Linked DNA regions of Pelodiscus sinensis. The protein of the gene in region 3 interacts with the protein of the main gene of each other region in a pairwise test. Links are inferred from orthologs where the notes say so. Each region holds a gene or a part of one and is shown on either strand. Other genes may lie near its edges.

Region 1 (10,524 bases), on a different chromosome or scaffold from region 3:
AGTGGTTAAATCTTCAAATTCTCTCTCATTACTTATTATCTCAAATACTAGGGAAAAACAGAAGAATATGATGAGAAGATGACACCAAGTGCTCAACAACAGTGTAGTCAGTAATTCAGAAAGCTTCTTTAACTTGTTTGGTATTTTTGTCATGATATTAACAGACTTACCTTTCTCAACCTGAATTCTAAAGGCATTTCTCTTTCTTCGGCCATATTCTGCACTGAAAACAATTGCACACGTTAGTTTCTCACTGAAGCCTTCTTTCATGTAGTGACACACTCCACAATTGTTTATATGAGTGCATCCAGGAACAAATCATATGGCAGAGTGATTTGGTTCAAGGTATTCCCAGGCTTTACAAAAAGATTAGGTGCAATTCAAATAGTGTGATACTACACTAAATTTTGGGGATAAAAGTGCAAGGTGAATCTCAGTGGTCTCTAGTTAGTGGTCTTCAAAGGGACATTTTGTGTGGATTACGAAACGCCTTCTCAGCTGAACACATAGATCAGTGAATGGCAATATTCCTCGTCAGCTGAGCACATAGAGCAGTGAATGGCAATATAAAAGAAGAATCAGCTATGTGGATTTCCAAACAAAATACACAACGTCTACATACGTAGCTAGGAACTGGACAAGGATGGGTTCTTCTTGTGGTGCACTGATAAATTAGTAAATGGAATCTTGCACAACACCGTATCCCCAGCTACAAACAATGTGGTCCATTACTTTCACAAGCACTAAGTTCAACCATTGGATTTTTTTTTCTTTTTGGCATAATGAAAAATTCAGACCCTTTAATCATTTGCAATGAATGTGCTCTCCCAACTTCATGATCAAGCAGCTGAGTTCCCTTCCAATAACACAGGGGTGGATAAATACTGGCTCATGGGCTAGATCTAGTCCACCAGGGTTAGCTCCTGGAGGGCCCCCACCTGCATGGCTATGGGTACCAGCAATCGCAGCTCCCATTGGCTGCAGATCACCAATCCCAGCCAAAGGGAACTGCGGGAAGCAGTGTCCCTGCCTATTCCGCTGCCATTGGCTGGGAACAGTGATCTGCGGCCAATCACCAGTAACTGCAGCTGTGCAGGTAAATATAGTTAAATATAGTGGCGGTAGCTCGCTAGGTGCTAACCCTGGCAAACTGCCGCTGTGTTACTGTCCATTCCTCCACTAACAGATCACAAACTATATATCCCACGATAGAGAGAGGCTATAAGCATGAACAAAGCTACTTCCTTGTCCTCCTTCAAATTATGCTTTAAAATTCTCTTTTCAAGGTGTTTTTAAGCACCACAGCAAAGTTAGGCAACTGAGGGTACATCTATAGAGCAAGTTATTTTGAAATAAGCTATTTTGGATTATTTTTCCCTGAAATAGCTTATTTTGAAATAGCACGTCAACACTACAGAAAAGCCTCAGAGACCAGCAGACCAGCAGACCAGGGAGACGTGAGCAAAGCTGCGGAGCACGTGGGCAGCCCAGACGCGCTGCAGCTGTCCCGCTGCCAGCGTCCTCAGAGGCTTTGCTCCCCGTCTCCCTGGTCTGCTGGAGACCAGCAGACCAGGGAGACGGGGAGCAAAGCCGGGGAGGAAAGCCGAGGAGCAAAGCCGGGGAGCACGTGGGCAGCGGACAGCCCAGACACGGCGCGGCTGTCCCGCTGCCGCTGTCCTCAGAGACTTTGCTCCCCGTCTCAGCAGACCAGGGAGACGGGCAGCAAACCCCGTTCGTAACTGCGGATCCGACATAAGTCGGATCCGCGTAACTCAGGGACTGCCTGTACTTGGTCCTGCTTCAATACAAAGAGATGGAATAAATCAGGGCTACTCAACTTTGGAAGCCCCAGGGGCCACAATGATACTCACAGCACACTGTCGAGGGCCACAACTTAAGTGTGGTTGCATATACTTGCAAACATATATGCAAATATATGCAAATAGCTTCTTTCACACTGACAGGCATGAATACAAAGATTAAGGCAAAACTACAACACACAAGCCCTATTTAAGCCAGTTCTGCTGCTATTAATAAAATGCAATATTCACCCGACTTCCATCCATATGGCAGCACTTTAATGGGCAATGACAGTCCAGGAATTTAACTACTAAAACGCATATCAACAGAAGACCATGATATTGACTACTTTTTTGGTTTGCCTCCCACCCACGGGTCACGTGTTGAGCTCCACATAAACTCAAACTGCACCACCGACTGCAAACAAACAGGCCACGGACTGCATGTTGAGTAGCCCTGGAATAGATGATCATTTGAGGTCTCTTCCACAATACATTTCTACATGACTGCAGAGCAAGTAAACAAACAATCCGGAGCGGCCCAGTAGCAGATCTCTCAGAGTGGGTCCATAGACCACTTTGAGAAACACTGTTCTACGGTACAACAATATAAAAAAATTACTGGAAATTTTGCCAGAGAAAACCTTAACCAGAAAATAATTTATTTTCAGTGTACTTTTTCCTAGATCTGTGACTTACTAAGCAACTTTCAAACCTAGTTTTACAGTAAAACTCCAATTGTCCAGCATCCAGTGGTCCGGCACTCCTGATAGTCTGGCACTAACTGGAACCTGGAAGTCCTCCAGCCAGCCGGACAATTGGAGCTCTGTGAGCCCCACATGCGCTCATGGGCCAGGAAAGGAAAGGGGAGGAAAGGGGAAGGGGATTATACCCGTGACGGGTCTATAATGTGTCTGGCCTGGGGGCGGGAAACAGCACAAAGAGGGGCGAACCCTCCACCGTTTTTCAGGGAGGCGGGGGAAGCCCTGCGCAGCTGCCTGTGACAGACCAAGTGGGGCTGCAAGTGGCAGTGACAGACTTGGGGAAGCGGCGGAGCGGGGCAGAGCAGCTGGGGTGCTGCCAGGTTGGTCCCACAGCGCTGCTCAGGTGAGGGGCAGCGCTGTGGGACCAACCTGGCAGCGCCCCAGCTGCTCTGCTCAGCCGATTCCCCAAGTCCGCCGCTGCCGCTTGCAGCCCCAGCTGGCCTGTTGCCGGCAGCTGTGCAGGGCTTCCCCTGCCTCCCTGCAAAACAGTGGAGGGTTCGCCCCTCGCCATGCCGTTCCCCACCGCGGCCCCTCCCCCCCCGCCCCACCAGTAGCAGTGCGGGTCCCGGCAGACCCATCACAGCTTCCCCGCTGGAGTACCTCCTGATACGCCGGCATATCCGATAATCCGGCACCTCCTGGGTCCCAAAGGTGCCGGATTATCGGAAGTCTACTGGAAGTGTAATTCATAATTGTCACGAGAAATACGGTATTAACATTTTTAGATATGCAAATGTATACTACCATTTCTATTGTTTATTAAAAACAGAATACAAGGATTACACTTTTTGCTCACCTGTAAGTTTTCTGTAAACCAGCTGCTAAAATTCCAATGTCCACATATCGACCACATTTATTACTGCTCAGGTACTGCAATGCAGAGTTTATAGAATTTTAGACTTTCTGTTGAATTGATTCACAAGATGATATACAAGAGAAAAACTAAAACATCAGAAACTGTATGAATTTATTTTGCACAAAGTTATATTATTATTTATCAGTTTGATGGAAACTTAGCTATTTACGTAGCCAATTCACAACATTTACTGGAAAATGTAGTACATTATATATTGGAGACCAAACTGACAAATGTCATTAATTGGGGCAAATCCACAGTAAATTAACAGAGCAGTAATACTCCGATTGATTTAATTATTAACCACACACATGTGTTGCAAAAGCAGCAGGAGACACTTTAGCCAGCACTGATTAATAACTTAGACTCTTCAGTTAGTCTATAAGGTGCCACAGGACTCCTCGTCGCTTAGACTATCAGGATGCTTTCAATATCTTATTAGCCACTTAAATTGTCAACTTGCACTAAGTTATTAATTTCTTTGTTGTGAGACAAAATGCAAATAAAATATTTCCCCTGTTGTACTGTTTAAATATAATTAGTAGGGATGTTAGAGTTTATCCGACTAACCATTTAACCGATAAGCTGATGTTTATCGATTAATCATCTTGGTTAAATTCAGCCAGCTCCCAGGGGGGTGGCTTCACTATCTCAGGGCAGCAAAGCCTTCTCCCCAGGAGCCAGGTGGGCAAAGGATGCTCTGCTGCTTCTGGGGAGAAGGCTTCTCTGCCAAAATGAAGTCCCCTCCCTGGATGCCAGGTGGGCAGGCGCTGGTAGCCCTGATCCTAGAGAGGCTTTGCTGTGGCCTCTGCTAAACTTTATACAGCAGAGCCCACATGTAACTGTTAAGACTTTTAGCAGCTACATGGTTACTGTATTAAAAGATTTTTAATATCCTTTATGACTAGTAGTACAGTGAATGAAACAGTCAATTCACGCTACTATGACCCTTTGGGTAACTTTTCTCACTAATTTAGTTGCTGAACCAGCGAAGTCTGACTATCAATACAATGGAGAAAAAAAGGTCCTGCAGTTGATAGGGCACTGCATGTGGAAACAGAATTCATGGGTTCCATCTCTGATTCTGCTCGACTTTCCATGCAGTCTCATTTCTGTGTCTCAGTTCACAGCCTGTAAGAGGCGGATCATAATTCAATACCTCAGAGGGGCGTTTTAAAGATAAATGTGTCTGTGGAAGGTGCCCAGCGGAGATCCAGACACCAGTCACAATAACCACACGCTCGCTCAACAGGGCTGCAGTAAAATCATTCCCTCCCACCGCGCCCGTCTCGGGTTGTAAAGCCCCCCACGCGGGGTAGCCCGCGGCACCAGGCAACTCGTGGGGAGCCAGGGCCGTGGCCAGCGTTTTACACACACGCGCTCGGGGCCGGGCCGGGCCTGGCCAATGGAACAGCCACTAGCAGGCCTAGACCCGAGCGCCGGGCCCGCCGTTGCCTGGCGCGGAGCAGCGGGGTCCGGCGCAGGGCTCGGGGCTGACGTCAAGGCAACCCCCGAACTGCCCTGGAGCGCGCGAGGGAACTGGGGGGCGGGGCGAGACAGGAGCAGACCCGGGAGAGGGGAAGCGGCACCTGCTTGATTCGCTGCTTCAGGCGAGGGTCCGCAAAGCTCCGCGCGCGGCCCCGCATCGCCCAGCAGCTCCGGACAGACGAAGCGAAAGGACCTGAGTCTAGGCTACCCTGCGCCGCCAGAGCCAGAGATCCGCGCTGCAATTCTGTGCAGGCACCAGCCAAGGCACCTACGTCTCCGGCCGAAGGGCCCCGTTCAAAATAGCCCGACTTGATTGGCAGCCCTAGTAGTAGGAGGTGTGGACATCAGCTACTATGTCTTGTTAGAGTCAGTGATAGAAATGTAGCCGTGTTAGTCTGGGGTAGTTGAAGCAAAATGCAGGACAATGTAGCACTTTAAAGACTAACAAGATGGTTTATTAGATGATGAGCTTTCGTGGGCCAGACCCACTTCCTCAGATCAAATAGTGGAAGAAAGTAGTCACAACCATATATACCAAAGGATACAATTTAAAAAAAATGAACACATATGAAAAGGACAAATCACATTGCAGAACAGAAGGAGGATGCGGGGGGGTGGGAAGGGGGAGGAAGGAAGGTAAGTGTCTGTGAATTGCTGATATTAAAGGTAGGGAGAGTGGGATGTTTGTGAGTTAATGGTATTACAGGTGATAATTGGGGAAACTGTCTTGATAATGGGTGAGAAAGTTCAAAGACTTGTTAAGTCCTTGTTGGTAAGTGTCGAATTTTAACATGAATGACAGTTCAGAGGATTCCCTTTCAAGTGCAGATGTAAAAGGTCTTTGTAGCAGAATGCAGGTGGCTAAGTCATTTAGAGAGTGTCCTTTCAGAAAGGACACTCTCTAAATGACTTAGCCACCTGCATTCTGCTACAAAGACCTTTTACATCTGCACTTGAAAGAGAATCCTCTGAACTGTCATTCATGTTAAAATTCGACACTTACCAACAAGGACTTAACAAGTCTTTGAACTTTCTCACCCATTATCAAGACAGTTTCCCCAATTATCACCTGTAATACCATTAACTCACAAACATCCCACTCTCCCTACCTTTAATATCAGCAATTCACAGACACTTACCTTCCTTCCTCCCCCTTCCCACCCCCCCGCATCCTCCTTCTGTTCTGCAATGTGATTTGTCCTTTTCATATTTGTTCATTTTTTTAAATTGTATCCTTTGGTATATATGGTTGTGACTACTTTCTTCCACTATTTGATCTGAGGAAGTGGGTCTGGCCCACGAAAGCTCATCATCTAATAAACCATCTTGTTAGTCTTTAAAGTGCTACATTGTCCTGCATTTTGTTAGAGTCAGGCTACTCAACTTTGGAAGCCCCGGGGGCCACAATGATACAGCACATGCAGAGGGCCTCAACTTAAGTGTGGTGGCACATACATGCAATTAGCTTCTTTCACGCTAACAGGCATGAATACAAAGATTAAGGCAGGACACAACAGGCAGGCCCCATTTAAATCTGTTCTGCCGATATTAACAAAATGCAATATTTGCCTGCTTTCCACCCAGATAACAGCACTTTTAATGAGCAATGAGAGTCCAGGAATTTAGCTACTAAAATGCATATCAACAGAAGACAATTATATTGACTACCTTTTTGTTTTGGCTCCCACACGCAGCCTGCGTGTTGAGCCCCATCTAAACCCAAACCACACAGCGGGACTCAAACAATCGGATTGTGGGCCGCAAACACATGGGCTGCGTGTTGAGTAGCCCTGCTTTAGAGACAAGTGTGACAAGTTGGTTGTATGGTGCTTGTACTGAGGCCCCAGCAATGACCGGTGTTTCAGTTAAAACCATGCCAGGATGAGTCAATTAATGCCATGCCATTATTTGTTTATTATTGGTGTTATAATGCCTAGGAGCCTTATCAGCAGGGCTCACTGAACCGCGGCAAGCCCTGCTTGCCAGCCGTGCTTTCCGGCGATCTGCGTATGCACAGATCACCTGAACCCGGCTCTTCCGGGTTGCAATCTGCTCGCCACGGGCAAGTAGATTGCATTATTTGTCGAGCCCTGCTTATCAGTAAGCCAAGTAAATTAAATGCAAAGTTTAGGCACGGACACAACACTCAGTTTGACAAGTCTAGCATCAGGATTGCCAACTTAATAATGGCCCAAAACTTACCTTTATCTCCACTAGCACCATCCCTGAGGCTGTGCCCCTTCACTTTATCTTCCCTTACTTTCATCCAGGGCCCTCACATGGCAGGAGAGGACACTTCACTGGGATCCAGCCCATGCTACACCTTGTGGTATGTGTGCGGGAGGGGGGTCTGTGTTATAAGTTTGCACTGGGTCTGAAAATATTATGCTTGGGCCCTCCTTTCACCATGGTGGGCCAGGGGTTGGGGTGTAGGAGTGAATGAGAGTTCTAGCTGAGGTTGTGGGCTAGATAGAGGGGAGTCAGGGATTAGGGTTTGGGGGTGCTGGAGAGGGCTCAGAACAGCTGTGGCAGAGGGTTGGGATGATAGGAGGCATGAGGACTCCAGCTAGGAGTGTGGGCTCTGGAATGGGGCTAGAGATGACTGATTTGGGTGAGGATGGGGCTGAGGATTGTGAAGTGTAGCGGGGATACAGGCTTTGGGAGGAAGTTTGGATGCAGGAGGGGGCTCAGGGCTGGGGCAAAGGGTTGACATGGGGAAGCAAGCTCTGGGTTGGGGCCAGGGATGATGAGTTTGGGGTACAGAAGAGGCTCTAGACTAGGGCTAAGGGGTTCTGGGTACAGGAGGGGCTCAGTGTTGGTTGGTGCACAGGAAGAGTGGTGGAGTCTCGGAGGTGCTTACCTAAGATGGCTTCTGGAAGAAGGTCATCAAGTCTTTGCAACTCATAGGCACAAGGCTAGGGAGGCTCCATGCTCTGCCCCAGCACCTCCCATTGGCTGTGGTTCCCGTGCAGCCAATGGGAGCAACAAAGTTGGTGCTCAGGGCAGGGGAAGCACACAGAGGCTCCCTGCCTTCTTGTACACCTAGTAGCTGCAAGAGCCTGATGGCCTCTTCCTGGGAACCACATGGAGTCAGGGCAGGTATGGAGCCAGTCTTAGCCCTACTGAACCACCAAACAGACTTTGAACAGCATTGTTGGTTGTGCTGACTGGAGCCTCCAGGTTTCCTTGTCAACTGAGTGTTCAGGTCGAAAAGCAGATACCTGGCTACCCTACCTAGCATGACAGGTCAGTTATTTTCAACTCCCCCTTCTCTTGAAACTTTAATACAATGTTAACTTTTCTGCCTTCCACATTCTGCAGGTAGTAACATTTCTGTTTCTCTTGTTAGTTATGTTATTGAAATAACAAGATGTGCATGTGTATAGCTAATGGACAGACTTTACTCTCCTTTCTTAGTGCCTCTGGGTTACACATGCACAGTTAGTAATGCAATAAGAACCTTAACTTTAGGAATAACCTAACTCTCATGGATTTTGTTTTATTAATGTCACCACCATTAAATTTTAAAGTTATGATTTTAAATCTTATGCTAATCTCCCTCCATCCCATTGGCCCAGCTGTGGCAGCTATTAGGATTATGTGCTTTCTCCTGGAGGGAGGAAGTGAATGGGTTTGCATTGGGGTCTGGGATTCCTGGGTGGGACTGAGAAAGATGTGTGCTACTGGGATTCTGTTCTGTGCAAAGGTCCCCATCCCATCCTCATAGTCCCAGCCCCTTCCTGGGGCCCTATTCAGAGCAGGACTGATATCTGAAAGGTGAGGGATTTCTCCCTGCCTCATCCCAAACGTTAGGCCAGGCTTCCCTTCCCAGGGGTCACCACCTCACTGCTGCCTGCAGCAGCCCTTGCAGGTCTAGGGAGGGAAGTGAAGACTACATTTCCCAGCATGCCGCGGGGTGAGCTCCGAGGGGCGGGCATGTACAGCTTGAGACGGTGAACGGGGGAGGAGGAAGAGAGCCGGAAACTGCAGTGTACGGTGGCCGGGAGGCAGGGCGGCGCTGGTGGCATGGAGTCCGTTGTGTTCATCTTCTCGCTCATTGATTGCTGCGCTCTGATCTTCCTCTCCGTGTATTTCGTATCCTGCGGGAGAGGGGGCCAGGCCGGGCCGGGGAGACTCACGGGGGGGCGGTAGCGGGGCGGGCAGGCGGCAACACGGGGAATTGGGGGCTGGGCCGGAGTGGGAGGCTGTACGGTGGGGACCACCGGGGAAGTGTCCCGGGTCGGAGGAGAGGGGAGGAGTTGGCATGAGGGGGTGGGGGCGGGTATGGTACCCAGCGATGGTGATTGGCAGCAGGGGGTTGGAAGATGCGTCCGTCCGGATTCTGCGGCCCGGGTACACGTTTAAGCCACAAGGCCTGATTTCATTCACAAGCTGTTTTAAAAGTTAGGAAAGCACTTCTGTGGCTACTGGCTTTTGTCAAATCCTATTTGTTGCAAAATCTCATTTGGGACCTAAATTTCCTCTCCAGTATTGTTAGTTTCTGTTAATTGGATTAATACTAAGATTGAAAATCACACTTGTGAATTTCTCTGTATTTGGGGGAATTTTTTTGTTGGTAGTTTACATAGGATCTTTCATCTGTGTCTCACTGATGGGTCTCTGCTTTAGCTGGAGAATGAAGAACAATTGGTTAAGGATTAAAAAAAATCTGTACAATAAATATGGAGGTTCCTTTGTCATAAACATTTCATCATGGTAACAATCACAATCTGATGCACCTTCTTGGATTATCATTAACAGTTATGTCACATGTGTTGCATCATGATAAAATTGGAACAGAATCCAAAAGGGGCTAAAAAGGAAGTTGGAGAATGTTGCTAGGACTCGAGATGGCTGGAGAGGAATAGGCTGTTTCATGAAAACATTTCTATAACACAGAAAACCTGTAAAAACATGGCTTAGTAATGAGTGTGCAGTATCCAATTCTCTAAATAGAAAATTTCAGTTCATTACTATATGTGGCTTACACTTAGGCTACGTCTACACTGCAGGCTTTTTGCGCAAGAACAAGTGTTCTTGCACAAAAACTTGCCGGGTGTCTACACTGCACGCGTGTTCTTGGGCAAGTAACTTTACAGTACAATGTTGGAAAAGGGTTTCTTCCAGAAGAGTTATTCCTCCCATACGAGGAATAAGCCCTCTTGCGCAAGAGCTCTTCCACAAGAAGGCAGTGTAGACAGGCAACATGATTTTCTTGTGCAAGAAACCCCTATGGCTAAAATGGCCATCAGAGCTTTCTTGCGCAAGAGAGCATCCATGCTGTCATGATGCTCTTGGCAGTGTGGTCACGCTCTTGTGGAAGACCTTTTGCACAAGAACTCTTGCACAAAACAATTCTTGCGCAAGAAGCCTGCAGTGTAGACGTAGCCTTATAGTCCACATAAGGAAAAACACACTTATTAGGTAGTTGAGTTGACTAGTTGGATTTCCCCCCCCCCTTGCTGCCTCTGTATCAGAGGCAGCAGTTGGCAGGGGAGGGACGGGGAGGGGCGTCTGCTCCAGCAGAAGCCCCTGTCAATAAGGGGTCCCAGCAGGGAGTTGGCACCCTCCACTGACGGGCCACTAAACTGCAGCAGTTCCTGTCTGCAGGGAGTCC
Region 2 (10,524 bases), on a different chromosome or scaffold from region 3:
CTCGCTGTCCCCCTCTCCCTCTCCCTCTATATATATATATATATATATATATATATACATATATATATACACACACACACACACACACACACACACACACACACACAAACTTCCTCCCCCCAAAATTCCATGAAAAATTGGAAAAAACTCTCTGATCACCTCCATTCTTTGGACCTTTAATAAAAATTGATAAACAGATTAAATAACATTGGTAAAAAACTAAGGTAGCTTTTTCCAACAATCATTATCTCCAAAAAGGTCAAAGTCCGGCCATTAATTAGATCTTCTATTTTCAAGAGGTACTATACATACCTGTTTTTAAAATCATCTACATGGGAATACTAGATTATGAGACTGTAATGAAAGCCATTTATCTATTGCCAAAAGGATTCCTGGGGAAGCTATGGATTTAGGATTCGCAAATCCTTGCTCATTCATGTCAAGTTTGCAGCATCTGGTCCACATTATCCTAACACTGATTCATTAGAAGACAGTTATTTACATCTGAAGTACCAGACTTTAGTACAGCATATAATATAACTTTCAGGAACTCACATGACAGGGACCTGAGGTAGTATTTTAGAAGAAATATTCAAAGTGAGGCTCACACTGCTTTATACTTTGGTTTGCAGTTGCCATCATGTCTAAAGAGATACTGCCAATTCAGTTTTTTCTTTAAAATATTTCCATTTTTAATCGAACAGTATTGAATAATACTGCCAAATTCAGGCAAATGATTGGACTCATGAACAAGACAGGCCCACATCTAATCTTCTTCCAATCCCTACAATCTACTCCTTTTTACATCAATAAGATGTGGCCCTTGAGTTCCTGACCAAGTTGTCAACCTGCCTATGGCTAAAGCTCGGATAGCAGTTTGAAAAGGAAGATTATTCTTTAGAATACCTAACACATTGCTTCCCATACTTCCCAGTGCTGTTTGCAAGCACATAAAACAGGAAATGTGACATTTTAGCATTTTTTCCTCTTAATTTATTCTTTTTTTGTACATGCACCAGAAGGCAAAAAAGATCATCTGCTTTAAAATACCTCATCAGCAGCTTTCAGGAACCAAATCAGAATTATATTAGTTTGCTATGCTCTGGGAGATCCAGAGTGTAGTTTGTACAAACAATGGTTAACCCCAACCTATAGTATACTCATCATTATTAATACTGCAAGTGCAAATATATATGGCTATCCAGTACAGCATGTTGAACAAAACCAGGCACCTTAAAATATATGTTGTCCTCAAAATATTAAATTGCACACTAGGGCACATTTGTTTGCAGTATTTGGAAAAGAAACGCTGTGACTGTCATTTTAGTCTTATTGTACTATAGAGGAAGGGTGAATGAGCCATTATCAATCCTCTTCAGAACTGGATTCCTCCTCTTGGTCAGAGAGGTCAGCAACAGGGAAACGTAGGATAGCTGCTACCCCTGTGAGCTGGCCAAGCTGTTCCCCAGACACATGGAGGCTGGAGAATATGCGCACTGTACCCATATTCTCCCGCACGCTATCTACCAGCCGCACATATCGGCTGCGGGAAGCCACATCCTGGTGCCTGAAGAGCTCATCGCTGATCAATAGGGTATCAATAGCCATGGCCTCATTGGCCTTTTCCACGTGTTTGAGGCCGTAAAAAGCCCGGTCGGGCTCATGTTGTAGCATCTTGTAGAAGTCATCTAAGGCTTTGACCTCACCAGCTGCCTTGGTGTCAGAGAGACGGCTGGCCACAGCTGGGTCACAAAGAGCTTCTTTCAGTGCATATTTATGTCCAGAAGAGGAGTGGACCTATAATAAAAATGTTATAAATGGAAGAAAAATGGATAATTTAGTCCATGGTGATCACTTAGCCTTATATGTTTCACTTATGAACTGAAACTTTCCGTAGTCAGTCTCTTTCTGAAGGTGAATTTTTTCAGGAATATTGAACAAGAATACCTTCAGCTACCTCTGAGCTTAACAAAGTTAGAAAAAATTTAGAACAAAGTCATTCAAAGTTTGTTTTAAATATGCTGGGATCTTGAGCACTGGCCTAAACCAAAAAGCATCTGAAAAAAACTAGATTCACAGTACTCCTGCATGTATTTTCAGATATAAGAAGCGAGCACTTCTCAGCAGTGATTGGACCCTTGTCCTCAGGCTGGTTCTTGCAGATAATACTTCATTAATATCCATGTTAAAACACTGAGTTAAAAGAAACTTGTTTCATACTTATGAAGCTGTTTTTAATGCCCTGGGACTGTCAAAGGCTTAGGACCCTGATTTTGGATTAAAGGCTTACTTAATTCAGTAACAATATGTATCCTCTAGGAAGCCAGGCATTGTAAAAACAGGAAGCCAATGAAATTTGGATGTTCTTAATTTTTTTTCCAATTCTCCTTTAAAAATACCGAAGAAATCAGATAAAAATAATTAGCAAATAAAACCTTAAGGTCATGCAAATAACAAAAACCAAGAGAAAAAAATAAAAAAGTTTTCCAACAGCAATGCTAACTTAGCCTTGCTACTTCTAGGTATGTTTTCATTTGCTTTTCTTACACTGGCATTAAATCTGTCATAAAACACTCATGCTCCCCAACACAACTGAACTGGCTTTTCTGCTGGAAATGCAATTTCCTAAGTGTTGAAATCTCTGCCATTTTAATGAGGCACTATCAAGTTTCTTTTTGTGTGTGTATGAGGGGTGGGGGAGCTTGCATTTAATTATCTAGTGCTTCATCTAGTTTAGCTTTTAAGTGTCCCAACAAAAGGACACCTACATTCCTTACTAATACACAATTTAAAGTCTAACAAAAAATAAATTTATGTTGATCTTCAACTTAAATTTTCTCTATGCTAATGTCACACAATATAACTCTTTACTCTTTTTGGATTTTACAATTTAAAGGTTACTTATCTACTTTACCTGAAGGAATTTGGACCGGTTCTCTAGCAGCAGCTTGTTGTCAGTCTTGACAGCCTGCTGGAACATGTAGTCACAGAACTGTTCTCTTACAAACCCCGGACTGGCCACCAGCACACATTTCACAATCTCAAAGTTGATATGACGCTGGATTGCCTGCACCACCTGCTCATAGAATCTCTCCAGTGCTCGGTCATGTTGACTACAATTTCCCCTCCGTTTTCTGGGGATGTTCACTTCAATCTTGGCCCGAGTCAGGGTCATGCTGGGGGTTACAAGACAGATATGAGCCAGCCCCTCTTGCATGACCACTGCTGCCACGTCAGCACTCCAGCTTGGGTCACAGGCCTGCTCAATGCGCTCCAGCACCACACTGTCCCACTGCTTCTTAGCAAGCGTGAACTGGCGGTTGGGCTCCAACTCGATGGTGTGGTAGGCCCCCATCTTGACATACTCATTCTCCTGGATGTTGGTCCCCTTGACACGCAGCTGGCAGGCCTGAGAGTCGAAGTCGATGGTCTCCACGCAGAGGGTGAGGGTGGTGCGGATGCGGTTGCTGCCCACGCTGCCCGTGGCGGACTCGGTCTGCACCTTGCGGATGGTGGATGCCCGCAGGCTGTCCCCCACCTGCAGCAAGTTGTAGGCGTGCCACATGTCCTCGGGATCCTCGGGGATCAGGGTCACCTGCCCCGCGTTATCCTTCTCGATGTCCTTCCTCACCAGCTTCATCCTGCCGCTGCCCGGGACAAGCCTCCGTCCGCGGGGAACGGGGCAGCGCGGCGCCTCGCACTCAGGACCGGGCCTCTCACTCCTCGCACGGCCCCGGGCCCTGCGCCCTCTCAGCAGGGAAGGGGCGGGACACGTGGGACGAGGCCGGCCAGCACTAGGCCCTGGCGGGCGGAGGTGCAGCCCGGCGCCGCACCCAACACGCCAGCGGCGGGACCTCGCTGATCTGAGCGGCACTTGATGACCCACCGCAGTCAGTCAGCAGCGGCAGCCCCGGGATGCGCCTGCGCACTGGCTGGTGACAGGACTAGGCACAGTCGGGAGCAGCCCGGCGACAGCATCGTCCGTTCGCGGACACACCAGCCGGGCAGCGGCTTCCTCCCACAGAGCGCATGCGTACACTGCCGACCCGGCGCGGAGACGTTGAGATGACTTCCGGCGCGCTGGCAGTAGCGGGCGAACTCGTCTCACGCATGCGCATAAGAAAGCCTTCGCCGTACCGCCACCTTTAGCGCATGCGCGGAAAGTACCGGAGAGGGTGGTGCCAGTACTGGAGCTCGGGTTCTGCTGCTGCCGCTGCCAGGGTACGGTCGGGCCAGCGGCACAGACAGAGGCCGGATCAGAGCGGCACGTGTGTTCTGAGGGGAGCTCATCAAGGCGGCTCATGACCCCGCCCTCCCAGGCCGTGCTCCCCGCCTCCGCTGTCCCTGCCCTAGTCCTGCGGGTGGCCCAGCGCAGCCTCCGCCCGGCTCAGTCCGTGCTGCAAAGCAGCGAGGTGGAGCATCTCCAGTTGGAGCCCGACTCGTGCTGTGCTAGAGAGCCGGGCCTGCCTGGGTGCACGGCCTTACTCCGCTCCCCTTCCCTCTGGCCCAGAGTTAGGCTAATACCGTGGCCAGTCGGGGCCACAAGCTCCGCCGCTGGCTGTCGTAGGGATTGCTCGTAATCCCTTCATTGTACACAGCGCTGCCCATCAATACCGCTCAAAGCATTTTACAAGGGAGGTCAGATCCCTTTGCGATTTTCACAGATGGGGAAACTGAGGTGCAGAGAAATTTCTTGCCCAAGGTTACTCAGCACTTCAGTGTTTGGAAGAAAAATATCGGAGGTACAAGAATTGAGGAGACAGCTAATCCAACACAAAATAAGTGATGTGGACTGCTACTAATTGATATGGTTCCATTTCTTATGTTCTTGAAATCTAGATGTATATTCATACAATGAACAGATAATGCTAGAGAACAGATATATTTTTATAGTGGGGAAAGCAAATTCTCCATCCAGACTGAGGCTTGTGTGTATGTACATCTAGTGGCTAACATAACAGTTCAAAGTCAATTTCCTTTTATAGAATTCACAGCATATATATACTATAGTAATATTGATAGTAAGAATTAGGGATGTTAAGAAGCAAATAATTTGCTAATTGTTTAGTTGATAGAATTTTATCAACTACATGATTAGTTAATAAGAGAAGGCAGTTTAAAGCATTCAGTCCCAGCTTGCACCAGGTCTGGGAACTACCCCACTGTGGCTCTGCATTTAAAATGTTGTAGAAGCCGGGTGGGTAGGGGGCCTGGCTCAGTCCTGACGTGTACCCGGTCAGGGACCAAACTTTGCTGCGGCTCTGCATTTAAATGCATATAGTCCATAAGGTTTTTTTCTTATTGGTTAATCGGTTAATTGACTGTACTATTACATCCCTGGTAAGAATATAGGCTAACATTTTCAAACTAATGCTCCTAAAAAATTAGACTCCCAAATTGCAGTGGCCTGATTTTCAGTCATGCTGAGCTCCTGCATAAATATTAAAAAATCAAATAATGTAATAATTTAATTCAAAGAATTAAACTAATACAACTTCAATTGACAAGCATAGTTTAATATATTTTGTCATCTTTAGTTACTCTACCAACACCTGAAGTTATCCAGTCATGTGCCACTATTCACTTGTTCCAAGATATTTATGATAAATATTGAGAAAGTTAGCATTTAATTCAAAAGTTATTAACATACAGGTATCACTGAAGAACAGACAAAGATCAAACTGCTAGGTCCTATATTCTACAAACTTTTACTTTCCTGAATAGTCCTATAGAAGCAAAGGGGACAACATGCATGAGTGAGGGTTCTTCTCTAGGTAGATTTTGGAAGACCTGTAAACTATGAGGCTGTATCTACATTGATGCGATCTTGCGCAAAAGCAATTGCTTTTGCGCAAAAACTTGCTGCCTGTCTACACTGGCTGTGAGTTCTTGCACAAGAACACTGACGTTCTAATGTATGAAATCAGTGCTACTTGCACAAGAACTATGATGCTCCTGCTCAGGAATAAGCCCTCTTGCGCAACTATTCTTGTGCAAGAGGCCAGTGTAGACAGGCAACATGAATTTCTTGCACAAGAAAGCTCTATGGTTAAAATTGCCATCAGAGCTTTCTTGCGCAAGAGAGCGTCTATACTGGCATGGATGCTCTTGCGCAAAAGCACATCTCTTGCGCAAAGGCACATGCCAGTGTAGACGCTCTCTTCTGGAAGAGTTTTTGCACAAGAACTCTTCTGCAAAAGAGTTCTTGCGCAAAATCATGCCAGTGTAGATGTAGCCCGTGTGCTTTGGATGACTGAAGGATCACGAATATTGTAATGGAAGGGAATTACACACCAAGAAGCCTTACTCTGTACCTGGCAAATTGGATGAACAATTGAAAGCTATATAATAAAGCACTTGAAGATCATGATGTGATACCATCTTGCCACAGGATTTCTGCTAAGGAAAATAATGCTTCACTGATCTCTAAGGCAAGGTCTACACTATACTCTTTTATCAGAAAAAGCTATGCAAATTGCACTCCGCAATTTGTGTAGCATTTTCTGATTGCTTTTCCGGAAGAGGATTTAACACCGTTTAGCTCCTCTTTCGGCAGAGCCCTTATTCTTCAGAGAATACTGTATTCAGGGCTCCCTGAAAGAGCGCGTTAGCTCTTCTGAAAAAAAAAAAAAGCAGAAGAGCAAACGCGTTCCCTGGACATGGTGGAGTTTTTCTGGGATACCTCCAGTATCTTGAAAAAAGCCACCAGTCTAGACGTACGGTCTGAATGTATCATTAAAGTAGTGGATTAAGAAAAACCACTTGTATTTAGATTATCAAAAGATTTTTAATAAGTTCCATCAGAAAAGTCTATTAGAGAAGCTAAGTAACCAGGAAGAGAGGTGAAGTAGTTCATGGATCAAAAACTGTCTAGAAGACAAAAAGTATAAATAAAAGGTCAATTTTCATCTGAGCAAAAAGCGAATGACTGGAGGTGACTCAGAGTTCTATACTAGGTCCGGAATTGTTTAATATATTTATTAAGATCCCGGAAAAGGTGGGTTGACTCATAGGGTAGCAGTGTTTGCAAATGGCATGGCGTTACTTGGGTTAGATCAGGACTAGTGGGAATTTTCAGGAACTTCACAGAGACCTCAACAAGGTAGATAAGTAGGCAATATGAAGGCAGATGGAGTTTGAGGTTCACAAATGCAAAGAAATATAAATTCAGGGGACATTATAAACTACCCATGTACCTTAGAAGGTTCTAACTTAACTGTGTCAATACAGGAAAAGATGCTGGGTATCACCAAACTGTTCAAGAGAGACCTTTGCCCAATATGTAGCTGCAGTCAGAAACACAAATGATGTTAGATTGCAAAAGAAATGGGGTAGAGAACAGTTGAGAAAGCATTTTGATGTCTACATAAATCAGTGGTGCAAAGAAGAGTTAGAAGAATGATTAAGAGGCATGGGAAAACTCACATGAAAAGAGATTGAAATAAAGGGAATTATTTTATATAGAACTGAGACACAGTAGAGTGGACATGCTAGACCAGTGTTTCTTAAACTGTGCATTCGGAGGTGTGTCACAAAGAACAACAGAGTTCAAAACAAAATGGCTGCTCAATAACTATCCCCCTGACCTTTTTCTTTTTCTTTTTCTTCTTTTTTTTTTGTTTGTTCAACAAAAAATCCTTGGTGTTCCTCATAAAAAAAATTGTTTGGTGTGCCTTGGTCTTAAAAAGTTTAAGAAACACTGTGCTAAACAGATATAAAATAACAGTGTTTCAGTTCTCCCTGTCTCATCATAAAAGCAAAGAAACATTTAATTAACTTAAAAAGTTGCAAATTCAGAAAAGATGAAAGGAAACATTGTTTCACATAACACATAATTGAACTGAAACTCACTGCTTCTGGATATCATTGAGACCAAGAATCTAGCAGGATTCGAAAAGGGATTGGATTTTTATACAGATCAGAATCTCCAGAGTTATCATAAGGAATAGCAAAAATTCTGAGAGATATGTTAAACTTCATGGCTACATCTACACTGGCATGATTTTCCGGAAATGCTTTTAACGGAAAAGTTTTCCGTTAAAAGCATTTTCAGAAAAGCGCATCTAGATTGGCAGGATGCTTTTCCGCAAAAGCACTTTTTGTGGAAAAGCGTCCATGGCCAATCTAGATGCTCTTTTCCGCAAAAAAGCCACGATCGCCATTTTCGCGATTGTGGCTTTTTTGCGGAAAACAAATCTCTGCTGTCTACACTGGCCTTTTTGTGCAAAAGTTTTTCGGAAAAACACTTTTGCCCAAACGGGAGCAACATAGTATTTCCACAAAAGCACTGACAATCTTACATCAGATCGTCAGTGCTTTTGCGGAAATTCAAGCGGCCAGTGTAGACAGCTGGCAAGTTTTTCCGCAAAAGCAGATGATTTTGCGGAAAAATTTGCCAGTCTAGACACAGCTGATGTGTCATGGTTTAATAAATCTCTGTCACAGCTCAGTATGTAACCTATCGGGGGGGGGGGGGGGACAAATTTCCCACATCTGCTACTATGGGATTCTTACACTCTCTGGGCCTATCTACACTTTAGGGCAAAAGTTGAATTATGATACACAAGTTCAGCTATGTCAATTGTGTAGCTGAAGTTGAAATACTTTAATTCAGCTTTTGGCACTGTCTATACAGAACACTCTTCCTTTGACTTCCCTTACTCCTCATAAAATGAGGGTTACAGAAGTCAGAGTAAGAAGTCCATCATCTCAAAATTATTTTGAAATAATGGCTTGCTGTGTAGATGCACACTTTGTTATTTCGAAATAACAACAGTTATTTTGAAATAATGCTTCAGTGTAGGTGTGTCCTCAAACATCTGCTGTTGGAGGTAAAATACTGGAATAGATGGCTCTCATTTCTGATTTGGTATTACAATTCCTAGGTTCATAAGCCTGACTCCTAAGTATGTTGCAAAGGATACTGTTTAATGGGGGTTGTGAAAACAAGGCCCAAAATTCCATTCTGTAAACACATATATGCTTATGTATTCACATGTGTAATTATATGCAAGTTAATGGGACTACTCACATTTGTAAAGTTAAGCACAGACATAACTGTTAGGATTGGGTCCTATATTTACTCATTCTTTTCAGTTACAGAATTGTTCAATCTACGTGGGGGTAATGTTCAATTTTCTTTGAATTTCTTTCTACCTTTCTTAATAATCATAGGATATCCGTTTACCTGATCCTGGCAGTGGAAAGTTTCTCATTTCCTTTGCTTTGCATGCTTATTAAAATGCTTCTGTATTTTAGAATAACACCACTGCTACATTTCTATCACTAACCTCCATGGGGGCTTTAAATGCTTTAGATGGCTAATTATTTATCCAACATATGGAAGTAAGGAATATTTTCAGACATTCATTGAGCTGATTTTTTGGCACATTTTTCAGATTATTGCTTTTGGCAGTTTGTGAAAATGTTCTCTCCTCTGAAGCTGCAGAGTCTGAATTGGTGTTCCACTGTGCCAGGGCAGGGCTGAATGTGGTAATTTATTGTGTACCTTTTCCATGGTTGAAACAAAATACAGGACTATGTAGCACTTTAAAGACTAACAAGATGGTTTATTAGATGATGAGCTTTCGTGGGCCAGACCCACTTCCTCAGATCAAATAGTGGAAGAAAATAGTCACAACCATATATACCAAAGGATACAATTAAAAAAAAGTGAACACATATGAAAAGGACAAATCACATATTTTCATATGTGTTCACTTTTTTAAAATTGTATCCTTTGGTATATATGGTTGTGACTATTTTCTTCCACTGTTTGATCTGAGGAAGTGGGTCTGGCCCACGAAAGCTCGTCATCTAATAAACCATCTTGTTAGTCTTTAAAGTGCTACATAGTCCTTTATTTTGTTTCAGCTATACCAGACTAACACGGCTACATTTCTATCACTATTTTCCATGGTTCTGAGTTCTGCTTGATGTGAGGCCTCTGAGTAGCATGCCACAGAAAATATGGTGGGGATGGCATGTGTGTGTCCTTCCATCTTTTACCTCCAGGACTAAGTGAAAGCCCTGGAGAGGTTATCTCAATCATTGGTCCAGTTACTATGCAAAAAAGTGCTTTTTTAAATCGTTAGGTTACTTGAGTTAATTAATAATTTGAAACACCTCTAAGCACAAAGTTTAACATCTTTACAATCATATTAGCTGATTGTTTTCACTGCACTGTGGTTAGAGGAAGAAAATCCCTATCTATTCCGGGGATGGGGAGGAAGATTCCACCAGCAGGACACTGGATCCAGCCTGCAGTCACCTTGCCAATACCATATTACAAAGCAGCTCACGCCGCTTTAAACAGCTAGCTGCTCTCAGCTCTGGACACTGGGGAGGGAGAGGAAGGCTTCATGTACTGCCCCTTCCCTCTAGCAAAATCTGGCCAATAGGAGCTAAGAAATTTTGCTGGGTTCAGGGGCAGTGTGGGAAGTCTCCTCTCTCTCTCATTCTCCAGTTTTAACTGATTTAAAAACAAACAAACAAACAATGACCAGAATTCAAGTTTTGCCTGTT
Region 3 (10,524 bases):
ATGCCAGGAGCCTGCGAGCCGGGAGCCAGCAGGGAGCAATTCCTGGCGGGTGAGTCACACTTTGGAATAGCTCCAATAACACCCGGCCTGGCTCCCGCCTCCCTGCTGCACAGCAGAGCTGCAAACCTTGCTTCGGGTTCCAAACTCAACCCGCCGGCCCTTGCAAATACAAAGGTTCTTTGCTCGATCCCGGGCAGCTCCTGTGCCCTCATGGACTTCAGGGGGCTGACCCATTGCTTCTTTTCACAGTCAGGGATCCCAGAGCCGTGGCTGGGCTTTCCCCTCAGGACTGGGATTCCCCCCATTGCTAAGGAGGCTCCTTGAGGCCGGGAGAGCAAACAGTCCTCCCAGATCACTTCCTTATCCCAACCAACCCACGGGAGAGAATCTCTTCCTTTCTGGCAGCTGGGAGCATGGGGACGGCCCTGTGGCCAGGCCCCTGCAGCAGAGCTGGCCATGAAACACGGCACCCCATACTCTGTGCTTTAGTGCCAGGCCCACCAGAGCCCCTGCCAACAGCCAGGGCAGGACCGTGCCCCACCATGTGACACTGCTCCGTATGGAAGAACGGCCCAAGGACGAGGAGCCCAAGGACAAGGCCCAAGACTGTTCCCAGCCCAGCTTCCCAGCCTCCCTCAGGGGAGACACTGAGCAGGTCACTTAGCTCAGGCGGCAGCTAGCAGAGGCTGCTGGGAGAAACCACGTCCTGGTGCCGTGTGGCACGTGGACCTTCTGGTGAACACGGAGAGAATTTCTCTTGGGGCTTTGCAGCCCCCACCCCGGATGCAGCCTGGCACTATCGCTGGCTACAGGCTAGCCCCAGGGCCAGTGCACCCGGCCATGCAGCACACGGGGAGAGACACTAGGGGGTTGGTTTATTTGACTTTTTCCGATTTATTTGAGCAACTCAGTGGCTGGGCTAGTACAAAAAAAACCAAACAAAACCAAAACCAAAAAAACCCATGGCTTGGGGGGGGGGGGGGCACATAGTGGATTGCGATTTTCCTCCGGGCCAGGCGCTGGCTTATTTCTTGGCAGCTTCCTCAGGCTTTTTGGTGTCGGTCGGGGTGATCTGCGCGTGGCTCTCAAAGGTGACGGGGATGGTGATCTCGGCAGACTGGATGGCCGGCTTGGGCAGGGGGGCTTCCACCGTCAGCGTGCCATCTGGGGACAGCGAGGAGCGCACCGTGGTGGCGTCGATGCCAGGAGGCAGGCTGCATGAGGGAGAGGAGAGGGAGGGTGTGCCGGGGCCGGGGGCTCGCCTGGCAGTGCCCACTGGCACCTGATTCCTGTCTGCCCTCGATCCTGGGAAGCCACCCCCTCCTGGCCAGCAAGGGCTGAGCGTAGCTCCCTCCTGGGACCGCTCACCACTGCTCTGTGCCACCCCGGCCCCGGAGAGCTAGAACCAGGGGCTCCATCTCTGCTGCCCCTGCCCCCCCCTCACGGAAACATCATTCCAGCAGGGCCAGGGATGTGGGCTAACATATCTCCCCTGGGTCCAGCCACCACGCCCCTGGGTCCCACCTGGCGAGCCGCACTGCATGTGGCAAAGAAATCGCCCCCCCCCCCCTCCTGCCACGGCTGAAGGCCCAGTCTCCCAGGAGCCCTCTTCTCCCCCCCTCCCCCCCGGCTGAGCCGGCCACTTACGTGTATTTTCTGGTGAAGCACCTGGAGATGAAGCCGTGCTCGTCCTGCCTCTCCTCGTGCTTGCCTGGAAGAGGAGGCGACAGACACAGTCAGGGGGTGAGGCCTAGTGGTCAGTGCCATGTCCCGGGCCCAGCTAGGACCCTGCAGCCGGAGCTTCCCGGGGGTTTACCCAGAGCGGAGAAGGTACTGACTCCTCCCCGACTCCCAGGGCTCCTCCACAAGCCGCCAGCCTGGCCCACAGACCCCCCCCGCCAGACTGCCCAGGGGACTAGTAGTCGCTTGGCTGGGGGAGCCAAGAGGAACGGGCTCCTTCGTTTCGGAGCGGGGAGGCTCCATTCTGAACAGGACCCTGCGTGCGCAACACGAGCCCTCGCTCACCCTGCCCACTCTCCAGCGAGGGACAGCTTGTTTTCCGCATGGGGTCGTGCGCGACCATCCGATAAGCAGTTTAAAATGCGGCGCCGCAGTGCGGGGGGCTCCTGGGGCTGCCCCCGTGGCGGCTGTGCATAGCGGTGCGATCGGCTAATCGTATAGTCGATACAGATTGTATCGATACAGATTGTATCGACTATTCGATTAGCTCGCAATCGCAATTTAACATCCGGAAGCCCAACTCCTATGAGAGCGCCTGTTCGCGCCAGATTTCCGCCACTGGCGGGGAAGGTTGTCCGGGCAGAGGCCTCGGTTGGCCTGTCAGGTTTTATTCTGTGTATGTCCAGCACCTAACACAGCGGGTCCCGGCCCAGGGCCGACCCTCCCAGGGGCAAGAGCGACTAGTATAAAATGCTGATTTGCCAATGCTCTTGTGTCACTCTGCACCCCACCTGCCAGCTCACAGTGGAGTTGGACCTGGCTGACAAGCTGGTCCATCTCCCCAGCCCTGCTTTCCCCCTCCCCCCAACAGGGCAGGCAGCTTCTATGGCATGCGGTGGGGCCAGAGCCAAGCCGGGCTGCCGTTCCTACAGCTCCCCAAAGCGCGGCTCGGCCTCCCCGCCTTCTAGGCCTCTGCTTCCCTGTTACCATGGTTACCCAGCGCACGGGCGGCTTGCCATTTACATGGGTGATTGCGAATGGAAGAAACCGCTGCCCCCCACCTCCACCCGCACCCGTGCAGCTGGGTTACAAAATCGGGAGACGCCTCAGCCACCCGGATGCTGCATCCTGGGCTCTGTCTGGTTTTCAGGGCAGGCGCCGGGCTGGGCTGAACAGCCGAGACCAGATAAGGAGAAACTGCAGATACAAACGGGAAAGGGGATCAAAAGCTGGAATTTTGCTGCTTGGGGGGTGGGAGATGCGTTCTCTGCCTTGGGGGTTTGGCCCCTGACAGTAGAAAACTGAAGAAAAGTTCCCAGTCCCTTTCCCCCTCCCCTCCCCTCCCACCCTGGATGCCAGCTTTCCTTTGCTTCTCCTGGATTTACAGCCTCTGGAAGGGAACGGGCCGGGGTATTTGGTGGCTCAATGGGAGCCTTCTGCTCCCCTGGTCCACAGCTGCCAAGCCCCAGGGTGCAGAGGTAGCCTCACTGCATCCTCCCCCACTCCCCTCCCCGGCCGTGTCTCAGGCTAGGTGGTTGGTTCGCAGCCCCTGGGTTTCAGCAACCTCCACTTCTCAAGCTAAGGCACGTACGCAGCCCTGTACCTCACAGGCTGCTCCGGCCGGGTAGGGAAGTGCTGATCCCCTGGGCTACTCAGAGGAGGGCCCAGCTCCTAAGGGGCATTTAGGCCCCAAATCCCGCTGAGAAGCTGGAGTTAGGTCACACTAGGCGTCTGTGGCAGAGCAGGGATTTGAACCCATGTGCTGGTATCTCAGCCCAGCTGGGTCCTGCCTTCTGAGCTCCAGTCCCCTGGATGCAAGGGGCTGCCCCTGGGTGAGCACCATCCGCCTTGGACTGAGTCAGTCCCTTTCAGCTTCGCCGGTGGCTGCAAATTGGTTCTGAGCATCGTCGCTCTGGGTCGGTTTCACCAGCAGGCTCGGAGATCCCCGGTTTGTACCAGCTGGTGACCTGATCACTGGCTCGCTGGGAAGAAACAGGGAAGTTGCAGCTTCTTGCAAAGCTTTCCTGCTGCCCAGCAAACCCCAGACTCTGGGGCAGACCCTCAGCAGGTGTGAACCAGCATCGTGCTTTGAAGTCACTCAAGCCGCACCGGTTTGTACCAGCTGGCGACTTGGCACTCTGGGACAGCTGGCTGCAAAACTTCCTGGAGCCGAGGGCGGGAGGGGACGGCTCAGGGGGACTCAGGCTGATCTTACATCCAAGCCGCGTGAGCTGCGCAGGGCTGGGTCACAGCACAGTGTGGTCAGGGCCGTCCTAGCCACATGCAGAATACGCAGCTGCGTCGGGCACCTGGAAATTCAGGGCACCCCTGGGTCCTAATGTCCATCCACCCAATTCCTCTTCCTATCCCTGTTCTGTGGCTCTGCTTCCTCCAGAGAGGATCTAGCTACCAGTGACAAAGCCAGCCGGGGCTAAGAGCAGACACTGAACCTGGGAAAGAACCATTCCAGCAGCAACGGAGCCATTTCACCCGCATGTGCCCACCCCTGGTCCAGACTGACAGCGTCTGAATGTCCCATGGGAGGCCACAGGGCCTTAGTTTAACATTTGTTTGAAAATATTTCGTTACAGGTTGGACCTCCCCGGTCCAGCATCCTGGGGACCTGAGAGGTCCCAAACAAGGGGCTTGCCCGACCAGGGGAGGTCAGGCCTCTGGGCTCTCCTGGGGCTCTCCTCCAACACACTGCTCCCGGCCCACCTGCTCTGGGGCTCCACTGTCCCCAGCCACCAGCTCCACTGGCCACCAGGGCTCCACTCCGGCTGCTGGTATGGCTCCCCATCCCCCGGACACTGGTCCCGCAGGCTGCCAGCCTGGCACCACTCCCAGCTGCTGGCAAGACGGACCCCAGAGTCCCGGACCAGAGGGGGCCAGCCTGCAGTGTGTTGCAGAAGTGGCTGAAAACGGCAGTGAGGGGACTCCTCCTTCCTCCCCGCACCCTCGGCTTTGCTCCCTGCCATTGTGATGGCGATTGCTGGGCTGGGAGATGTTTTGCCGAGCTCTCGTTTGGGATCTGAGCCAGGGAGGGAGAGAAAAAGCTGGAAGGGTCACGATTCAAATCCAGCAGCGAGGCCCACACGATTCCCCCGAGAGTGAAGCCACCATCTTTAATGATGCTCTAGAGGAGATTCGCCAGGCTGCCGGAGCACTCACTGCTAAGGGCGTGTGTGAACTTGGAAAGCCCTCGGGCCCAGACCCCCCAAGGGTACAAGGCTCCTCGCTTTCGAGAGAGGGCCCTAGGGGGTAGTGAGGGCTGGGGGCTAGGCTGTGAGCCGGGGACTCATTGAAGCTTGGGGTCTGTCCCCAGCTCTGTCACAGACCTGCTGGGTGATAAGTTATATTACAGCCCCCTGCCTCAGTTTCCCTCCTCCCCTTTTGTCTATTTAGACCAACTGCTTGTTGGGGCAGGGTCTATTTCTTACTATGTTTGTAGAGAACCCAGCCCAAGGGGGCCCTGCTCTAGGCTGAGGTCTCTAGAGGGGTCTGGAATACAAATATTCAGCCGGAATGGAATAACAAGCGTAGTCTTCCCCCATCCCATGGCTTGCATGGATTTAGGTGGCTGAGCAAGCCCTTTCCCTCTTCGACCTGCTGGAGCAAGCGGCTCCCTAGCGTGCGGTGGGGTGGAACATGGCCCCTCACAGGAAACAGAGGGGGCCGGCTGGCTGCATCCACTCCTCAAGGCTGTGGGGATGGGGGAATAAGGGGGGGCAGGCAACGGCCCGCTTGGAGGCATGAGCGATATAGTGAGAGGCGCCGAGTCGAGGGCTGGAGGTTCGAGAGAGTGAAGGGTGCACCAGTGCCCCACCATCTCGGCAGGAGGAATCCTCCAGCCTGAATGGAGCCTTTGAATCCTGGCCGTCCGGGGCCACAGGCGGCAGCCAGGCCGGCCTGAGGGGGGCTGCAGCCACCTCTCACAGACCAGGCCCAGTGGGGCCTGTGTCACTCACCTTGCTCTAGGGGGGCAGAGCCGGATTAAGACCTTTAGAGGCCCTAAGCACTGAAAAGATGATGGTGCCCCCCCCATGTAATTCAAAATAAAAACAATACTATACCGTAAAATCTCTTTTTTTTGGTGGCCCGGCTTTGCGGGTGCCCTAAGCACATGCTTAGTCTGCCTATTGGGTAATCCAGCCCTGTGGGGGGGCATGTGCAGCAGGCCTAGGGCTCAGCACAGGGAGAACAGCTCAGGCTCACAGGAGACGGCTGCCCCTCTCCAGAGCCAGGAGGAGCGGAAGGAAGCACTCACCGGTTATCTCCACCACACCCTCCTTGGTCTTCACCACCAGCTCCTCCGGGGCAAAGTGGTTGACGTCGAGGGCAACCTTCCAGCTGTCCGCTGTCTGCCGGATCTCCGAGATACCGCTGCTGAGCTGGCGACTCAGGGCCCGGCTGTAGGCAGGGTTAGGGGAGGTGGGGGAGGTGACGATGGGGCTGGGGACGGCCAGCGGCTCGGCGGCCTGGCTGGGCAGCAGGCGGAGGTAGCCCGGCCAGTTGGTGCTGCTCGGCCACTTGTACCAGTCCTCCAGCATTTGGGGCATCCCGAAAGACTGATCGAAGAGCCGGCTGCCCAGGTACCAGTCCCGCCAGGGGTCCCAGCTGGGGCTGCGCAGGAAAGTGAAGGGCACCCGGCGCTCTGACATGGTGCACTCCTGCTCTGGCCTGGCTGCTCTGGCTGTGGCGGGAGGGGAACGAGCGGGCGTCTCTCGAGCAGCCCCGCGGGCTGGCCCCTTATGAAAAGGCAGCTGGTTATTTTTAGCCAGGCAGTTCAGCTGGCTATTCATGGAGATTACATGCGGGCCAGTCACTGCTGATGAGCAGCAGGTCAGCTGTCAGGCTCTGCCCGCGTCCTCCCAGGCCCTTCGTCATCCCACGGCTACGCTGGGCCTGCAAAGAAGCGGGGAAGGGTGCTGGCTCCCCAGTATCTGGCTGCAGTGGGTTGGCTGGGTAGTGAAGACACGACTGGGGTTCAGGAGAGCTGAGTTTAGGGCTTGGGCCCTGCCACAGCCTGCTTGTGTGGCCTTGAGCAAGTCACTTAATCTCTCTGGGCCTCAGTTCCCCAGCTGTACAATGGGGCTGGGTGCAGGTGGGGAAAGAGGAGGGGGCTGCGAGGTGTGGGAGGGTGGATGGTGCAGTGACTGAGAAGCGCATGGCTGCGTGGATGGGCAGGGGCAGCACATGGGAGGCAATGGAAAGAGGAGGGAGGGGCGGGGGTGAGCTGGGGAATGAGGAGGAGGAGAGCCGTGAGATACAGTCCGTGGGTGGCTGAGGAGCAGTGAGAGAACAAGCTGGGCTCAGCCTGCCTCCAGCTCAGCTGCCAAAGGAGGGCCAGCGTCCCCCTGCACCCCTGCCCCACCCTGTGCCCTGTCCGGCTGCAAGGGGCCGGTACACAAGGAGCCCTCTCACACTGCCTGCGCGGGGCAGGGCAGGATCCGGTATCAAACCTGCCACGTCCTTACTGGGACCAGCTGCAGAGGATCCGGTGCCCACCCACCATGCCCATGACAAGGCGATTGATTGCCAGCTCCCAAGTCTCATCACTCTCAGCCTGGAGCTAGGCTGCCCCCCAGCCAGTGTTCCCTGGAAGCTGAGCGCTTGGGCGGCCATGCAGGAGAGGTTCAGATACTTCCCAGCTGATTAGCAGAGCCCCCGTAGTCGGTCGGCAGCGGGTGTTCCTACTGGTGGTGCACATGCCTTGGCGCGCATAGCAAAATTTATTCTGCACCTGGAAGAAATTGGGGGGGAACATTGTCCCCAACCTCATTACCAGTGCAGCAGCTCCTTCCACTGACTTCGCACAGTTCTGCTGAAGCTGGGGATTAGCTCTCCACTCGGGGAGGAGGGGGCGCACCCACTCGCGTGCTGGCTGAGTGCACTGCACAGAGCAGGATGGCAGCTGCCCACCCAGTGCTTTTTTTGTGATGGTACTGTCCTGTACGCAGTACCGGCAGCTCCAGACACAGTACTGGCACCTCCAGTCGTGGTACCAGCACCTCCAGTCATGGTACCAGCACCTCCAGACACAGTACCGGCACCTCCAGTCGTGGTACCAGAACCTCCAGTCGTGGTACCAGCACCTCCAGACACAGTACTGGCACCTCCAGTCGTAGTACCAGCACCTCCAGTCGTAGTACCAGCACCTCCAGACACAGTACTGGCACCTCCAGTCGTAGTACCAGCACCTCCAGACACAGTACTGGCACCTCCAGTCGTAGTACCAGCACCTCCAGTCGTGGTACCAGCACCTTCAGACACAGTACTGGCACCTCAGGTCGTAGTACCAGCACCTCCAGTCGTAGTACCAGCACCTCCAGTCGTGGTACCAGCACCTCCAGACACAGTACTGGCACCTCAAGTCGTAGTACCAGCACCTCCAGTCGTAGTACCAGCACCTCCAGTCGTGGTACCAGCACCTTCAGACACAGTGCTGGCACCTCCAGTTGTAGTACCGGCACCTCCATTTGTAGTACCGGCACCTTCAGTCGTAGTACCAGCACCTCCAGTTGCAGTATTGGTACCTCCAGTCGTGGTACCAGCACCTCCAGTCGTGGTACCAGCACCTCCAGACACAGTATTGGTACCTCCAGTCGTGGTACCAGCACCTCCAGTCGTGGTACCAGCACCTCCAGACGTGATACCAGCACCTCCAGTCGTGGTACCAGCACCTCTCGACGCAGTATTTGTACCTTCAGTCGTGGTACCAGCACCTCCAGTTGTAGGGATAACATATTAATGTATTGAAAATGATTCCCCCAAATGGAAGTGACTCCCCATAATTTGTTCCCCACAACTTAAAGTGTTTAGATTTATTATTAATTCTTCTTATTATTATTATTTGTTAAGATTGTTAAATGTTTAGATTTATTATTATTATTGCCCCTTTAGAATATAATATATTAGGTCATGTAATTTAGAACTGTTAAGAATATAATCCTATGTAGCCAGAAACAGCCCCCCCTCCTGTGTCCCAGGGCATGCTCAAGCTTGTGCAAGGGGCTGCTTGAAATTGACATTGCAGAGATACATTGTAACAATGCATTGTCAAGCCACTAACTCTGCTATGGGAGCCAAGCCCTGTAATTGACTAAGGGCATTGTTACATAATTGACGCCTGTTCTCTTTAAAACATTGTAACTTTACTTAGCATTCAGAATGTTTTAAGCAATACCACCCAGTAACTTTTGTAACTACAACTTTTATTATTATACAAAATACTGTATGGGAAACATTAATTAGGGAATGTATGTAAGAGAGAGTGAGTGCTTGGACGATGAATGAATGGTTCTGAGAGGTGCCAGCCTGAGAATACAGCAACAAAGGGCTGAAGAAGGCGTCAGGTGCCAGTGCAACCAAAAGGTGTCGAGTGGAGAAAACCAAGTACTGGAGGTCCACCCGATGAGATCACTGACGAGCACCTGGCAGCCACCCTGGAGACATCAGCATGATGCAGCAATTCCTATAGACTGGCATAGGAAGAAATTCCTATGAGAACTGGACTAAAAAACTATGGAATCAGAGTCCAAGGTTCTGCTGCCAGCCTACCATCACTTCAGATGCGCATCTGATCAGGACTTCGCTCCCCACTACCATCACTTGTTTACAGAATACCTGGCCAGTATTCTGTCACAAGCAACTTCCAGGCTGGTAATTATAACAAATACACAGAACCTGAATGAATGGATGAATGAATGTTTATATGTATAAGGGTTAAGTAGTTAAACAACGTTGTTTGCTTCTATCTTTTCTTTATTTTTTTTATTATCTTTACAATAAATGTGGCTTTTTGCCTTATCCCCCTCATAAGATCCTGCTTGCTTTTATTGGTACAACACAGTTGTAGTACCGGCACCTCCAATCGTGGTACCAGCACCTCCCGACGCAGTATTGGTACCTCCAGACGTGGTACCGGCACCTCCAGTCAGAGCTCAACAACTTTTCCCCTGGAGTACCGGCACCTTTTTCTTTAAAAAAAAGCACTGTGTGCTTGGGGCCACTGGGGATTGGCCATGGGCAGCTGGCCCAGCCCCTGCCTGCTCTGCAGCACCCCGTGGCTTTGCACAGCTCACAAGCTCAGTCCAAGCGCACACGTGTGCCTGCCCCCTGTGCAGCAGTGCCCAACCTACCTCCACACACTAGCCTGCACACTCGCCTCTCTTCCTCCACCAGCCCTGGTGTTGTCACTCTGCACTGTGCCATAGAGCTCTGGCCCTCCTCTCCGCTGTGGGAGCAGAGGGCCTGCGGGTGGCCAGGGTGCACGGGGAAGGCAGGCTCTGAGGAGTGCCTGCTGGCACTGGCTGCAACCTTTCACACCAGTGCAAAGCAGGGAGGAGGGCAGCATGTCGCACTGGTGCGAGTGGCTGCATGGGGGCCTGAGCAAAGGAGGAGCAAATCCAGTGTGTGCACGTGCTATCAAACCTACGCTTCATGGCGGCAGGGGTGGGGGTGTATTCTGCTATCCTGGGCAATGTTCCCTGTAATTTTTTCCAGTTCTGTGCAGAATAAATTTTGTTATGTGCACCAAGGCATCTGTGAATGTGCACCACCAGTAGAAACACAGGCTATGGGCAGTTGTGGGTGCTCTGCTAATCAGCTGGGCATTGGATGGCCACCCATGCACTCAGCTTGCAGGGACCACTGGTCCTGGGGGTGAGGGGCAGGCAGGAGAGGAAGAAAAGCAGGGATTCTACGGCTTGCCAGCCCCACCAGTCACACCACTGCAGGGGCTGAGACTACCATGCTCTAAGGCAGCTGCCAGCTTGGGCCGCTGCATGGGCCCGTCTGAATCCAGGCTGCCTGACCCCAGCTGGCAACCTCAAAGCAGATGAG

What was found.
Region 1: the proteins of HSPB1 (region 3) and NVL interact in binary tests that used the Homo sapiens proteins (3 or more experiments, as listed by UniProt). The link is inferred for Pelodiscus sinensis from reciprocal best matches to the Homo sapiens genes HSPB1 and NVL.
Region 2: the proteins of HSPB1 (region 3) and PELO interact in binary tests that used the Homo sapiens proteins (3 or more experiments, as listed by UniProt). The link is inferred for Pelodiscus sinensis from reciprocal best matches to the Homo sapiens genes HSPB1 and PELO.

The regions. Positions count from the first base shown.
Region 1 is NC_134713.1:155,539,134-155,549,657, forward strand, and holds the start of NVL (nuclear valosin-containing protein-like), read right to left. Parts: upstream 5,175-10,524; 5' UTR 5,066-5,174; coding exon 5,009-5,065; intron 3,434-5,008; coding exon 3,360-3,433; intron 224-3,359; coding exon 171-223; intron 48-170; coding exon 1-47. Other genes in the region: CNIH4 (protein cornichon homolog 4), read left to right, coding at 8,934-9,002. UniProt on the Homo sapiens protein: Participates in the assembly of the telomerase holoenzyme and effecting of telomerase activity via its interaction with TERT. Involved in both early and late stages of the pre-rRNA processing pathways.
Region 2 is NC_134716.1:98,696,761-98,707,284, forward strand, and holds PELO (protein pelota homolog), read right to left. Parts: upstream 5,953-10,524; 5' UTR 3,641-5,952; coding exon 2,915-3,640; intron 1,798-2,914; coding exon 1,366-1,797; 3' UTR 156-1,365; downstream 1-155. UniProt on the Homo sapiens protein: Component of the Pelota-HBS1L complex, a complex that recognizes stalled ribosomes and triggers the No-Go Decay (NGD) pathway.
Region 3 is NC_134731.1:15,441,428-15,451,951, reverse strand, and holds HSPB1 (heat shock protein beta-1), read right to left. Parts: upstream 6,413-10,524; 5' UTR 6,342-6,412; coding exon 5,948-6,341; intron 1,712-5,947; coding exon 1,648-1,711; intron 1,215-1,647; coding exon 1,025-1,214; 3' UTR 862-1,024; downstream 1-861. UniProt on the Homo sapiens protein: Small heat shock protein which functions as a molecular chaperone probably maintaining denatured proteins in a folding-competent state. Plays a role in stress resistance and actin organization.